Stegostoma tigrinum: one gene and its partner. The main gene of each other region encodes a partner of the protein of the gene in region 2 in a complex. Links are inferred from orthologs where the notes say so. Each region holds a gene or a part of one and is shown on either strand. Other genes may lie near its edges.

Region 1 (7,627 bases), on a different chromosome or scaffold from region 2:
GATTGGCCATGCTAAAATTGCCCGTAGTGCTCAGGGATGTGTAGATTAGGTGGGATGCTCTGAGGTTCGGTGTGGACTTGTTGGGCTGAAGGGCCTGTTTCCACACTGCAGGGATTCTATGATCTATTCTGTATAGAATGATTTGGAACCCAAACGCTTGCCAAGGGAATGTTGCAGGATTGAGATGAAATGCTATTTTAAAATTTATTAAATCAAAAAGGTAAAAATCAGCCAAATATTTAGACAATAGTATTAAGTAGAAATAAAAAGTTTTAACCATGACACATAGGTGAACACATAGTAGTTGTGAGCTTTTCATTTTCACATATAAACGTTGCCTGAAATGTTTGATTATATTCCAGCGACAGATTTATTCTACCTATGTGCTTCGTGGAAAAATGTGATTGTAAGAATATTTTTGTTATTTCCGAAGTTGATGACACATCTCTCTTTTTAAAATTTATTCATGGGATATGAATAACACTGGCTGGGTCAGCATTTATTGGCCACCCCGATCTGCCTTTGAACTGTGGGGTTTACTCGGCCAGTTCAAATTCAACTGTGACCATAGCAGTGGGTCTGGAGTTTCTTGGTGGCTGGACTCATCCCATAAGGGACAGTGAATCAAGTCAATTCGGGGGTCGTAAAACAATTGACAATATACCAGTTTATTAATTACATTCTTTTCATTAAATTCAAATTCTATTATCCATCACAGTGAGATCTGAACCACTGTCCCCAGAACATTAGTCTGGGGCTCCAGATTACTAATCCAAACAGATCTCACAACTGGTCCCTTAAAACTATAATTTTGCATGATACCTAAGTTCTCTCTGGACATTATTCTCACAAATAAAATTGCACTAAAACAAATCAAGTGCTTTTAAACCCTCATGCTCCTAATACAGCTGGATTTGAGACAAGGAGAAAAGCAATTTAGTTTGTATGATATGAGTGTAGTGAAGTACTTTGACTTTAGCCAACAGTGTTAAACAGGAAACACTAGATCATTAAAATGAAAATTAAAGACGCAGAATGTGACATTGGTCCAACATCACTTTTTACACCTTTGCCCTATATGAGCAATTTCTCCACTGAATTTAAATATTTTACAGAAAGAAAGTCAAGTTGGACTAAAATTTGTACAGAAGAACTATCTCAAGTGTAACTACCAAATAAACGATACTGTAGAGTTTTCAAATTGCCATTAATTTGCTACATAAATTATCAATATAAACACTGTATGTTGCTATCATCTATAATTATTGGGGTCAACGTATAGCTAAGATTTGAGAAGTGAGCTATCAAGGTGGAAACTTAAGATTTAATAATTATTTCAATTACAAATTTACGAGCACAGGACTGTGTAAAAATGCACTGGCAAAACTGCCTGTTTTTGCATGAATTGGTATTGATCTGTTGTCCACGTATTGATCTGAGGGATCTCTACGTTGTGTCTGATTTGAGACTAACCAGTACTAAAAATGAATATTGCTCACACCTGATCCCGGTAGGCCCTTAACTAAATATGCAGAGGTATACACTTGGGAAAGAAAAGCAACATCAAAAACATGCCTAATAATATTTCCATTAAACGTTAGAAAAAATGATCGTTATGCCTACTTTCAATAGCATATCTGATCCTATATATCTTTGTGATTTTCCGGTGGAATGATCAGCAAAATTCTGGGACATTCAAATTCTGACAGCCCAGCAATTTAAAAAGAGTCGTATTGCGGATTTATATTATTTTCACAACGAAACTGCACTGTGCCTTAGTAACGTCACTTTTTTGTGTTGCTAAAACATGCCCGTACAGAAGTTTTCGGATAGTCAAAGAGGGAGATGCAAGGGCAGTGTTGAAGTCTACAAGCCTGTTGCTGTCACTCACAGTCACTATTGACAGGGTTCCGTGACCCATTCCGATGTCGCGACTCGTGCAGAACATGGATAAATTAGAAGATCAATACACGCAATAAATAAGAAAACTGCTTTATTATGTACGAAATCTTTAGAAAGAAATTAAGAATGTCGTGACGAAATACTGATATGCGAGCAAGAATAAAAATGTGAAGACTCGAAGTGAGTTGGATTCCCAGTGATGACAATGGTTATATAAAGAAACAAATTTGCGGATTCAACAAAGCCAAATGCCGACAATCATTCACACCAAGATTTCCAATCCCAGCACTGATCAGTAGATTAGTTTATACACAACACCCGTTCAAAACTCCTGCATGTTTAATTTGTGACGCCTGTAATAGTTATTTATTGTCTCAAACATGCAATGCGTCCATGTTATACACACGGCGGCACACTACTGTATCTGCAAGACACAAATTGTAAATTTCTGCCTTTCTTCAGCAACTGAGCATTTGCATTAAAATGTGCAAAACGTAGCAGATTCTTTTCCGCCTTCCATCATCCGTCGCCCTTGAATCGACGAGTGTCAGGCATCATATTTCTGCGTAATACTTAAATGTATTAAAACATGTACTAGATGTAAAGCTACACCGCAGTTCATGTTAACCTTCTCCATAAACTGGATCGTAATTCCACATTATGCCAAGGTAAGCTGCTGTCATTGATAGCATACACGCGTATAAATTTAACCAGCGATGATATATGCCTGCCGCTGCATCCTGAATGCACAACTGAAAACTTGTGTTTTATTGTGCATCATTCTGTAACTAACACAGCCAGATCACCTTGACAATCATTTTCCTTTTCATTTTGCATGCCATTTTCTCGTTTCGCTCTGAATTGCATTTGACCATTGAAAGCCAACGTTCATGCTGAGGTTACCTCATATTTAAATTTTTTTTAAAAACACAAAATTACACAAATACGTATTTGGCTACGTTCTGACTGACCTGCATGTGCCCCTGGTACATCCTGAATGGGTTATTTACTGCAGACGAGCTGCACACTTGCGGTCTGTCTGGAAGCAGTCGGGGCTGATGTGCAGTTTCGAGCTTTTTCACAGGCTCTCTCTTCAAAGGTGACTGGGAAAGTGACTGGAGCTGTATGTCCGTACTGCTGGGGCCGGCGCTGGGATTGAACCCGCCCCTCTCTCTCTCTCTCTCTGTCAGTCTCCTCCTCACGTGCCGGGTTCGGGAGCTGTGCGTGTTCCGTCACAATGTCACAGGCAAGTTCCTATCAGCCTGGAGGTCAGCAGGTCGACCCCGTAACTGTACCCGGAGAGGGGTGCACACAGAGGGGAGGTCTGTGGGATCTGTCCGCTTCCAACGATTTAACCGTACAGCGAGTTTTCACCTTGTACCTACCCACTGCTGACTCGGACAGATTGCATCCTTTGTACAGCAAGCTCTAAAGTTGTGAGTTGCATCACAATGAAAAACAAGTCAAACACATTTTCATTCTTTACAAGGTGCACTGGTACAAAAAAAGGACGTTGTTGCCAGACTGGGCAAGTTAAAGGCATTATCGGTTCCGGTGACGGTGGAATTCATACATCTAAAGAGCATCTTGGCTAAAGACCCTCTTCCCATTGAAAATGAAACTTCTTGAACACGCCAGCTGAAGATAATGTAAAGAATCAGCTCGAGGAACCTGCACTGGGAGATTCACCCAGCACACGTGCATAGCAGCAAGCTGAAGTAAATCAAACATCAACTTTGCGGAGAGTGAGCCCACAGACTAATGTCCAAGAAACAGGTGATGACTTCAAGGTCCCAACCATCTCAGGTACAACCACCTCAGTGCACTGTAAAGCCTGAGTACAACAGAGCATTGGAAATTTGCATAAATGGAGAGGGCATAGAGGAGTCTTATGCCCATCTGAATGGACTCGAAATAAAGCTGTCAGTCAGAGAGCACCAGTTGGCAATGGAAATTCTAATGTTAACTGAGTTTAATTGAAACGGACTCCTTTCATTTTGACTGGCTTTCAGCATCTGCAACAACTTTTAAAGCATAAAGGCAAGGATGGTGTACAAAATGATGAGAGGCATAGAGACAGTGGATAGCCAGAGGCTTTTTCCCAGAACAGAAATGGTTATCATGATGGGGCATAATTTTAAGGTGACTGGAGGAAGGAATGGAGGAGATGTCACAGATAGGTTCTTTACAAAAGGTGGAGTGGTGGGTGAGTGGAATGTGCTGCTGCCAGTGGTGGTGGTAGAGTCAGATACGTTACGGACATTTAAATGACTCTTGGATAAGCACATGGATGTTAGTAAATGTACAACATGCAGGGTAGATTGATCTTAGCTAGATAATAAATCAGCACAACATTGTGGGCTGAAGGGCCTGTACTGTGCTGTATTGTTCTACATTCTACATAACATCTTATCATTGCAATATTCTGTTCTCACACAGAACAGTGGGAGTGCTGGGATACAGCCACACTACTGTGAGATTAGCACCATGAGACAGGCAATGTTTTCTCTCAAAATGACAATAAGTTAGTACCACACAGCTAGCTTATCCAAATTGTCATCCGTGCACAATTCAATAGTGAAAAGTATTCTCGTGTTTAACATGGTTTGCCTTCAATGTGAAAACTTTATTGTTGTATGTTCGCAGGACCAACTACTGGTAGCCTGTAATTGGGTAGAGTGCTACCACCTATCCCTCTTCCTGCTGCCAGTAAGGACCTGTTCAGCTAACAGTTGTTGAGAATGAATGACAAGTATGTATTAACAAAAAGAGGCATTTGTTTAAACAGCAACATACAGTTCATTGAATGATATCAATAGATACATTAACTAATTAGTCCTAGTAATTATGCTTATCAGGAGGAGGAAAACGTGACTTCAAGCAGAGAGCTGAGAGATGGGTGAGTAAAGGAAATCTTGATCTCTTTCTAACGTATTTGTATTTCACAGTGATGTGCAGTTTGCCAGTTAAATTCTATATTTAATCCAGGTTTATGGAGGGATGTATAAACTGTCAATAACCATGAATCCATTGCCAAATGTTGGGAAAACCCCCATCTGGTTCATTGATGTCTTATGGGAAGGAAACTACCATCCTTACCTGGTCTGGCCTATATGTGAGTCCAAATCCACAGCAATGTGGTTGATTCTGGGATGGGCAATAAATGCTGGCTAGGCAGCAATGCCCTCATCCTATTAATGAATAAAGGGGGAAAATGTGTGAATGTTGCAGCAGATAGGAAACCCTGGATGCCAGTGAGATCCAGGACAAACATATCCAGCAATATGTTTGAAGCTCTTTGAGCTCCAGCACAAAAACATTGAGCTGGAGGTTGAGCTGCAGACATTATGACACTTCAGCTAGATTAAATGTACCTTAGAATGGGATCCTGATTTGATTTGATCAGTGATCAGGAACAGGAGAGCCTATCTGTAGCTGAGGTAGGCAACGAAACCTGGAGACCAAGAAGCTTTGCAATTGTCCGATAGGTTTGAGGTTGTTTTGGCTTGCTTGAATGACAGTGAGGGCTGGAGGGAGACAACGACATCATGTACAGAAGCCATTCAAGTTGGGGGGAGAAAAACAGATTGACGTTGCAGCAGAGAGTGACCTTTCAGAAGGCTATGCTTCTTGCCTGGTGCCATGGTTTGCTTAAGATTAGAGAGTAACTTATATTGGGAGAAGGAGGATCCAGCCACCATGTAGGCACCACTAATATAGGCAGGTCAAGGAGAAAGGGCCTGTATAATTGGTATGAAGAGTTGGGCACCAAATTAGGAAGCAGAACCTCAAGAGATAGGTAATTACCTGAGTGATACGTAAATTGAAATAAGACATTTTTAAAAAATATTATTCGTGGGATGAGGGCATCACTGGCTAGGTTGTATTTATTGCCCGTCCCTAATTGCCCAGCGAGTAGTTAAGAATCAACCACATTGCTGTGGTCTGGAATCACATTTAGGCCAGACCAGCTAAGGATGGCAGTTTGCTTCCCTAAAAGACATCAGTGAAACAGATGGGTTTTTCCAGTCAACAATGGATTCATGGTCCTCATTAAACTTTTAATTCCAGATTTTACTTCCCTGTCTTTGGGATTGTTTCTCAGAATAGCTCGTTTTGAGGTTAACCAGTGAGCAAGCAATACTAGATCATGTATTCTGCAACAAATAGGATTTTTAGTGACCCCACAGCGAAGATGTCCCCAAGTAGCATTGAGGACGATGTTGAATTTTATATTCAGTTTGAGGAAAATAAGAGTGGGTCAATGACTTGTATTTTAAACATAAATGAAACAAATTATGAAGGTATGAAAGTAGAGCTAAAGTGAAAATGACAAACTATGTTGTGACATGTCCATAGGCATACAGTGGCAAACATTTAAAGGGGATATTTCAGAATACACAAACCAGTGAGAATGGAAATTCTAGTAGTAGAATCCAGCTTTTGTGGCTAACTGAAAAATGTTAAAGGTTGTACTAAATTTGAAGAAAAGCATGTGTTTGTGTAATGTTGGTTGGCATATAAAATTGGACAGTTTTTTAAAATCCAAGAATGACTAAAAGATTAATGAGGAGAAAAATTTAGTGTGCAAGGAATATAGCTGCAAATATATGTACGGCAAGACTTGTTCTAAAGTTAAGAAAATAATTTTTAAAACAAATTAATAATGGAAAATTAAAAGGAAAGGAGATGCCAAATGAATTGATCAAGTATTTTGCAGTGGTCTTCACTTTAGATGACAATAGCAACATGCTGTAAGTTTAAAAAATGGAAAGAAAGACAGAACTTGGGGAAATTGCAATAACCAGAGAAAAGATACTGAGTAATTTCTTGGAGCTGCAGCCTGACAGGTTGCATGCTTTGATGGAATTCATTCAAGGTTCCTAAAAGAGCAGCTAGTACGAGGTTTGATGCGTTGGAATCAATGGGAATCAGGAGGCAAACTCTCTGCTGTTTGGATTCATAAGAAGATGGCTGTAATTGTTGGAGAACAATCAACCCACTTGTAGGATGTCTCTATAGGAGTTCTTTAGGGTGGGGTGTGAAGCCTAATCATTCTTCAGCTGCCTCATCAGTGACCTTCCCTTCATCATAATGTCAGAAGCAGGAATGTTTGCACAACGTTCAGCACAATTCATGACTCCTCAGATACTGAAGTCGTCCATGTTCAAATGCAACAAGATCTGGAAAGTATCCAGGCTAGCGCTGTCAAGTGGCAAGGAATGTTCACACCACACAAATGCCAGGCAATGACCATCTCCAATAAAGGGACAAATCTAACCACTGCTCTTTGACATTCAGTGGTTTTGTCATCACTGAATGTCCCACTTTCAACATCCTGGGGTCCTATCATTGACCAGAAGCTCAACTGGACTCATCACTTAAACACAGTGGCTACAAGAGCAGATCAGAGCTAGGAATCCTGCAGCAAGTAATTCACATCCTGACTCCCCAAAGCCTGCCCACCATCTATAAGGCACCAAACAGGAGTGTGATGGAATTTTCCCCACTTGCCTGGATGAGTGCTGCTCCAAAAAAAAAAGACCACTGCTGGATACGGAGAAGATGTTTTTGTTTGAGAGAATCTGGAATGAGGAGTTATCATCTTAAATGTGAGGACAGTTGAGACAGGAATGAAGCAATAATTTTTCTTATTGAGTGTTATAAGCATTTGGAACTTTCTCCTTCAAAAGGCTGTGAAAGCAGAGTTTTTGAATATTTGTAA
Region 2 (8,225 bases):
AAAATTTGTGAATTAATGAAAGCAAAATCAATAACCAGTTTGGAGCCTGTATGTGGCTGAGTACAATATTTGTTATTAGCATAATTCACACATGATCTCCTCTAGGGGAGCTCTCTGAATGAAAGAAGGAAGATGGATGGCAGCCTGAAGAACAATTTGTTCTAAATTGGAGGAGTTATGATTTATTAATAGAAAGTATCATGAGTTAAAGGGGAGAAAGCATGTGCCCAATAAATTCCTACTTCAGTGCAAAGACAGTCTGCAAGGCATTGTGTTAGTTGCCAGGTGTGTGAACTGTTTTAATAATGCCCACAGCTGGAAACAAGCACTGCAAGGAGGATGATCTAATATGTATTACTGGACCCAAAGAAAGCAAAGGTCACAGATAGTTCACAGAAAATATCTGAAGCTTATTCTTTCCTCTCTGCTGAGAACATAAAATCTGAGATGAATGGCTCAGGCTGTACAAATTTTCAATTCACTTGTGAGTATCACCAATGAATCAATGGTTTAGCTTTTACAAAACTTTGGCGTTTGGAGAGTAAACCATCAAAATGATTGCAATTCAAATATTACAGGGAGCTGATAATGTTACATGGCTTGAAATGAGTAATTGTCAAACTACCCATAAACAATTCAATGTTTCCCAGTTACAAAATCTTAGGCAAATAAATGTGCATATCAGTGGATATGAAACTACAAAGAATTGCAGCAACGTGAACAAAAATGTTTATTCAGATGAATCTGAAGGTGTAGGTCTTATGTTACATCCCAAGTGTAAAGATTACAGGCAAAGAACAGGTGCAGAGCTCTTTATACTTGTGGAGATGTGTTTATCTTTCGAGAGAGCTCTATTTTTAAAAAATCTGTTACATTTCAACCAGAATTACTGAGGCTTGGCTGGTTTTAGTTTGGTTTGATGCGATGATGTGAATTTGGGAAAGCGCTGAAACGTGATATAGAATCTTCCAGGAGGTCACCTCACACCAGTTTGAGGTGCGGAGTAACGTTAATGCAGGAACAGATGAGAGTCTCTTGTCCCCGTTGGGCTGGAACCCGCAATTTTCCTGAACTAAGTCTATCACGGTGCTGACAGAAAGCACCAGAACAAGAGACAAACACACGCCTTGTCCATTCCTAATCCCCAAACTGTGGCAATTAAAAACGTCTCCGTTCTTTGGAAGATGAGACAACCGGGAAGTCAACCTCAAGAGCCCAATGCCTCCCAAGGACATGAGACAGAATCGACGCTCAGACCCACACCCATGATAAATCTGTAGCGGTGACCCAATGTACCCAGCACCGCTTAACATCAAAGCAATAAAGGTAAACACCCTTTCTCCAAACGTTTCGTGAGTAACACTGTGTTGGTTAAGCACGATTTTAAATGTTCAACCTGAAGGTGTGGGTTTAAGTGTCACCTATCCCAGCAGGTTAATTCGCACCCCACCCCCAACCAAACACACACACACACACACGAAACAGACCCACTAATATGTATACTCTTCAAAAGGAATACGCTGCCTGCACCGTTGTTTGTACGTGTGGTTTATGGCACCAATTATGTGCTGCCCAAGAAGAAGTTCTGTCAGTAATGGTACATGTTCCTGGGACCACCTGCACGATCTGCTAACTCCGTACAAACGTGAGCACTGTACTTTGAAATAGAGGACAAATCCCCTTCACTGCATCTCTGCGGCGTCTCTCAGAGACCATAGCCACATTCATACTTACACACACACCACCTCCAAATCGAGGGACAGGCTTCAGTTGTCTACATCAATGAGTCTGTCCAGATGTTTGGCTGCTATGTTTTTCTTAGAGATTGCTTACTAAATAACCACTTGAATTTCCGCATTGGGGAAAAGCAGCCGCAGCGAGTTGCTTCAGTATTACAAGTTGCAGCTGACTCAAGTGGAGCCCACTTTAAGAGCTACAGTCACAGATGTGTGTGTGTCTCTCTCTATCGTGTTTATTACAGGAGGGTTCGTGCAACACTCACCGAAAGTCACTGTAAGGGTGGATAATCCAGGCTCCGGCCGATTTGACTCTCTCCTGCTCCCTCTCCACAGCCTTTTGGCTGCCGAACATCCGCAGGGAAAACTTGTTAACTCCCGGCTGCAGCATAGCCCCGAACTGGCGCTGCATGAAGCTGGCCTGACTGCCGTTCTGCTCGGCATCCTCGGGGAAGATCTGCTCGGCCCCTTCGGACTTGTGCAGGCTCACGGAGTTCCTGCCGCGCTGCTGGAACTGCGAGCATGTTCGGCTGGGCGGCTCCGCCGAGAAAGCCACTTTGCTCTCCCTCTTGTCCTCGCTGCGGGAGGCGCCCCCTCCCTCCATCGCGGCTTTCTTCTCCTCACTCTCATCCGTCCGGTTGATGGACGATTGGCTTCCCTGGGTCACCCTGCAATCCCCGTTCGTGTTGCACTTCATGCCCACCGCTGTCTCTACCTCGCCCTGGTTCGATTCCCCCGGCTGCTTGTCTGTGTTGTGGTAGCCTCGGCCGGCTCCCCCTCCTGGGGGAGACGGGATCGCTTTCATTCTGATGCTTTTGCTGCGCGTATCCTCCTCGTTCTCGTCGTCTTCGTCCATGATGGGACCTGTCTAATGGGGCAGGCTGCACCACCTTCTCCGCTCACTAGGACGCAGTTTTGCTCAGATGCTGTGAGAGGTATGCTTTGACGTGGCCTGAGCTTCGCCTACGTGACATTTTTACTGAAACGGCGCAGGCAGCCAGAGAGATGTCCTAGTCCTTTTTTCAGGAGGTTAACCGAGCCGCAAAGCTGCATTTGAAGAGGGAGAATCCAACCCTTTTATCCCCACCTGAAGATGTTCGTTTAAACCTCTTATAAGGAAGAGGTGCAACTCATTCTTTCAGGCAGCGATCTCCTTGTAAATGATGCCCAATTAGATTGAACCCCCTAGAGTACTTTTACCAGGGAGTATTTAAATTTGCCCTGGGGTGGAGGGAAGAATTTAAACCAAAAATTATATATTTCTGGCGCCCTCGTGTGTCTGTTTGACATTTTTCTTTTTAGGAAAAATCATTTAGAGGACAAAGGAAATGACAAGTAAAACTTGGATATTTCCTGTAGATGTATGCGATTAGACCCCCAAACCCAGTTCCTCATTTGGGTAGGAGAAACGAACACTTCACAAAAATAAACATGACCAGTCGGCACCCAACTACTGCTACAGACTGTCAAAACGGTGCACCCTCATGGTATGTTAGGATTACTGCAGTTTTTAAGCGCGCACACACACACACACACACGCGCGCGCGCGCGCGCATGCATGCACAAAGGAGAAAATATTTCAATTGGAAAGCAGAGTTTCTTTGGTTTAAAAAAAAACCCAGAAATGCTGTGATTGTATCGACAAGTGAAGGATTAATTGGGGGAAACTGAACGTCCAGATCATACCCTGCAAAGACACAGAATGGCCTCTGCGCAACAAGTAGAACACTGCTGGGTGAATAGAGATCCTTCTGTGCCCACCTGAAAAAGTAAACTCATTTCTGAAATAGTCCAACATTGTGCTTTAGAAGTTTATATAATGTTATACTTATGTTGACACTATATAAGCTGTTGCAGTCCCTTCCACACACGTCTTAGCTCCCTTTTACAGGTGGAGATTGTGCCTTGGCTGATGTACCCTGCAGCAAAAGTCCAACAGCTTAAGGTGACAGGAGCACTGGCTTTGCACGGAGGGAGGCCAATATGTTACTTATTACTTTAAGAATTCTACACCTTATACGTTACTGTATCAAGTTTTTTTATTATTATTCATTGAACACGGGCATCACCCCACCTTTATTGCCATCCTTGTTACACAGAGGTCTGTTAAATGCCAACCACATTGCTGTGGGTCTGGGATCACATGTTTGCCAGACCTGATAAGGATGGCACATTTGCTTCTCTACAGGATATTGATGAAACAGGGATGTTTTATTGATAGTGGGTACACGGTCACCATTAAATTATATTTTTAATTCCAGGTTTTTATTTTGAATTCAAATGTCACCAAGTGTCATTGGTAGGATTCAAACCCACATCACCAAAGCAATAACTGCAGTTCCGGATTATTGGTCCATTAACATGACTACTACATCGCTGCTCCTCATAAACGAGGTCTTATTATTGCTCTAAAAACAAAAAAAATCCTGGAAAAGCTCAGCAGGTCTGTTGAATGACTCAACCCAAAATGTGAACTCTGATTTCTCTCCACAGATGCTGCCAGACCTGCTGAACTTTTCCAGCAACTTCTGTTTTTGTTCCTCGTTTACAGCATCCATTGTTCTTTCAGTTTTTATTTATTATTATTGCAGCAGGTTACAGCCCTGGCCTTGGAATGCTAAAATAAATCCTAAATACAGTATCTATTGTCTTGTCTTTGTTCATTATTGATGCATTCTTATTTTTCATTTCATTATGCTCAAATCCTACCTGCAATTCATATTGGATTAACAGAATGCATTTTACATTTCCATATTGACTCAGGCAAATCTACGGTGTCAATGTTCTGCTTGAAATATGAGGAATAGAATCAATCCTCATAACCAAGGAGTTCAATTCACTATGTATAAAAGATTTGATTTTGGAGAATAATCCTTTTTTTCAAAAGAAGTCAAATCAAAATAAAGATTATATTTATGAAGCTTCCAAATCCAAAACTCATAGCACCTAGAAAACCAAGGGGAGCAAAGGCATGGACATGCTGCCACCTTCAAATTCCCCTTCAAGCTATACACCATCTTAACTTGGAAATATATCATTGCTCCTTCACTGTTGCTAGGTTAAAGTCCTGGAACTTGCTAACAACACTGAGTACCTCTACACCCCAAGGACTGCAGCAGTTCAAGATTGTAGCGCATTACCTACTTCTCCAGGCAATTAGTTTTAGTCTATCTATATTCCAATAATGACTAAATCAAACATACTTGAAAATTTCCCTGTAATTATGTAAATTATGCAATATTTTATCAGTTTGCATTAGACCAGGAAATGTTATGCTTGTCACGTTATCTAATACATCTGTCACTAAAATAGAAATTTTATCCTTACTTTAACTGCACAAATTGAGAATCTAAGAATGTGAGTTGGCTCGCTGAGCTGGAAGGTTAGTTTTCAGACGTTTCATCACCATTCTAAGTAACATCATCAGTGAGCCTCCGACAAAGCGCTGGTGTTATGTCCCGCTTTCTATTTATCTGGTTAGATTTCCTTGGGTTGGTGATGTCATTTCCTGCATTGGTGATGTCATTTCCTGTTCTTTTTCTCAGGGGATGGTAGATTGGCTCCAAATCAATGTGTTTGTTGATGGAGTTCCGGTTGGAATGCCATGCTTCTAGGAATTCTCGTGCGTGTCTCTGTTTGGCTTGTCCTAGGATGGATGTGTTGTCCCAATCAAAGTGGTGTCCTTCCTCATCTGTATGTAAGGATACTAGTGATAGTGGGTCATGTTGTTTTGTGGCTAGTTGATGTCCATGTATCCTGGTGGCTAGCTTTCTGCCTGTTTGTCCAATGTTGTGTTTGTCACAGCTCTTGCAAGATGAGGAAGGACACCACTTTGATTGGGACAACACATGCATCCTAGGACAAGCCAAACAGAGACACGCACGAGAATTCCTAGAAGCATGGCATTCCAACCGGAACTCCATCAACAAACACATTGATTTGGAGCCAATCTACCATCCCTTGATAAAAAGAACAGGAAATGACATCACCAACCCAAGGAAACCTAACCAGATAAATAGAAAGTGGGACATAACACCAGCACTTCGTCGGAGGCTCACTGATGATGTTACCTAGAATGGTGACGAAACGTCTGAAAACTAACCTTCCAGCTCAGCGAGCAAACTCACATCCAGAAACTCAACCTGAGCTACAAATCTTCTCAAAACTCGCTAATCTAAGAATCTAAGTTTACTTAAAAAGATAATATAGTGTGGAACTGGAGGAACACAGCAGGCTGAGTAGCATCAGAGGAGCAGGAATGTTGGCATTTCAGGACGGGACACGAAACGTCGACATTCCTGCTCCTGTGATGCTCCATTGTTCCAAATTGTGTTATCTTTGACTCCAGCATCTGCAGTTCTTACTATCTCTGAATTCATTTAAAAGATGTTTTTAAAGAATCCTTTTGTTATATGCTAATGTAGAACAAATTATATTTTGTGGATTCAGATAATATGCTTAATAATTATAGAAGAAAGTCAAATTAATGATTATTTCTTAGCAGTATATTGTTTTGAGTTTTTACATTCATCAAGACCAATTAGGATTCAAACAAAGACAAAGTCTACCTAAATTTCCTACACTGTTCAGGCTCGCAGTGTCTGACTTTCACTCATTGTTCGTTGTAACTTGAACATTGAGAAAAATTGCCTCCACCTCGCTACAGGCCAAGATTAGTAACTCATCTCAGACTAGGAATTATTTAGAAGCTGTCCTTGGATGACATCATTTGTGTTCATTTGGTCAATATATGCTGTGAACACTTAGATCGAGTCTTATGTCAACACCCTTGACACTTCAATCATTTGCATCCTATCTCTTGCTTAACTAACTTCAACTTCTGGATGAGTAACAATGTCCTACTACCATCCTATTCAGCTCCCATCAAAAATTCAAGATCTCAGCGGATTTAGGCTGAGCTTTATGCAAGCAACTTTGAAGACCTGTACTTTGCTGAGCTCAGCTACAAGCTTAGCCACAAAACCCCTAGGAATTGCCTTTAGAATTATCACTCACCCTCTACCCACTCACCAAATTATGAAACTTTATATTCAAGTTTTTCCATTGAATCTTGTCAATATTTAGATTGGACCAATTTATGTAATGATCATTTTTTATTAAAAGGAAATATTAGCTTACAATGAAAGGGGGCAATTTTTGTTTCCTTATATATTTGATTTAAAAAATTCTCATGGATGTTAAGTCCAATTGCAAAAAAAAATTGCCAAGCATTTTTGTCATGACGACAATTGCTCCTCCAATGCCTTAAGTAAAGCTAGATTTTAGAATTTTTCAGTTGTAAATGAGATAGATTAAAAACAACATATTGATCTACATGTGAAAAGCTGAGTTCTTCATAAAATGGTAGTTAATCTCAATAGTTTCCTTAACGTAGATAAAGATAGAGATAACAAAATATTTGCAGTTCTTCTTTGCGACTGAAAATGCTAATTTCCTAATTCAGAGTAAATTAATTTGATTATTTATGCCCTATGTCTAATTCAGTGAGGCTGACTGACATAGGAAGTAAAGCAGCACTATACAGCTCTTCAACGGCCAATACTAATGGATGTCATCAACCATGTTATGAAGCAGCACCTGCTCAGCAATTACCTGCTTAGTCACACCCAGTCATATTCCAGGGGTAATATGAGGTATGAAAGTGACAACCCTTGACATCCAGGCTGCATTTAACTGAGTGTGGCATCAAGGATCACTAGCAAAATTGAAAAAAAAAGGTATTGGGGGCAAATCCTCAGCTGGTTGGAGTCATACCTGGCAATGTAGAGAGATAATCATGATTGTTGGATGTTAGTCATCTCAGCTCCAGGACATTTCTGCAGGAGTTCCTCAGGGTAGTGTCCTAGGTCCAAGCACCTTCAGCTGCTACATCAATCACCTTCACTCCCTCATAAGGCCAGAAGTGGGGATGTTCACTGATGCTTGCACAATGCTCAGCATCATTTGTGACTTCTCAGATCCTGAATCATTCCATGTTCAAATGCAACAAGCTCTGGACAATATTCAGGCTTTGTTTGAGAAATAGCAAGTAACATTTACACCACACAAATTCACTAACTCCAATCAGAAACAATCCAACCACCCCCCTTGACATTTATTTTCTTCAATTGTGGGACCTGGGCATCACTGGCTGACCAGGATATATTGTCGGTCGCTAGTTGGCCTTGAGAAGGTGGTAATGACCTGCCTTGTTGAACTGCTGCAGGAAACAGTCTAATGATGTTACTATCACTGAATCCCTCATTGTCAACATCCCGGGGGCTTGCCATTGACCAAAAACCTAACTGGAGTCACCACATAAGCACAGTCGCTACAAAGTCAGGTCGGAGACTAGGCGTACTGTGGTGAGTAACTCACCTCCTGACTCCCCAAAGCCTATCAGTCACCTAAAAGACAGAAGTCAGGAGTGTGTTGGAATAGTCCTCATTTGCCTGGAAGGGTGCAGCTCCAACAATCAAGAAATTTGAC

The links.
Region 1: the proteins of hcn2b (region 2) and pex5la are in contact, whole or in part, in a crystal structure (PDB 4EQF), measured with the Mus musculus proteins. The link is inferred for Stegostoma tigrinum from reciprocal best matches to the Homo sapiens genes HCN2 and PEX5L. Residues at the interface, in NP_032252.1 of Mus musculus: Leu859, Ser860, Ser861, Asn862, Leu863; in NP_001156988.1 of Mus musculus: Glu315, Glu317, Val343, Asn347, His426, Asn453, Arg454, Ala457, Thr458, Ala460, Asn461, Tyr472, Arg484, Tyr487, Asn488, Ile491, Ile494, Ile537.

The regions. Positions count from the first base shown.
Region 1 is NC_081367.1:37,291,705-37,299,331, forward strand, and holds the start of pex5la (PEX5-related protein), read right to left. Parts: upstream 3,077-7,627; 5' UTR 2,895-3,076; coding exon 2,874-2,894; intron 1-2,873. UniProt on the Homo sapiens protein: Accessory subunit of hyperpolarization-activated cyclic nucleotide-gated (HCN) channels, regulating their cell-surface expression and cyclic nucleotide dependence.
Region 2 is NC_081383.1:14,353,124-14,361,348, reverse strand, and holds the start of hcn2b (potassium/sodium hyperpolarization-activated cyclic nucleotide-gated channel 2), read right to left. Parts: upstream 3,162-8,225; 5' UTR 2,593-3,161; coding exon 2,003-2,592; intron 1-2,002. UniProt on the Homo sapiens protein: Hyperpolarization-activated ion channel that is permeable to sodium and potassium ions. Displays lower selectivity for K(+) over Na(+) ions. Contributes to the native pacemaker currents in heart (If) and in neurons (Ih).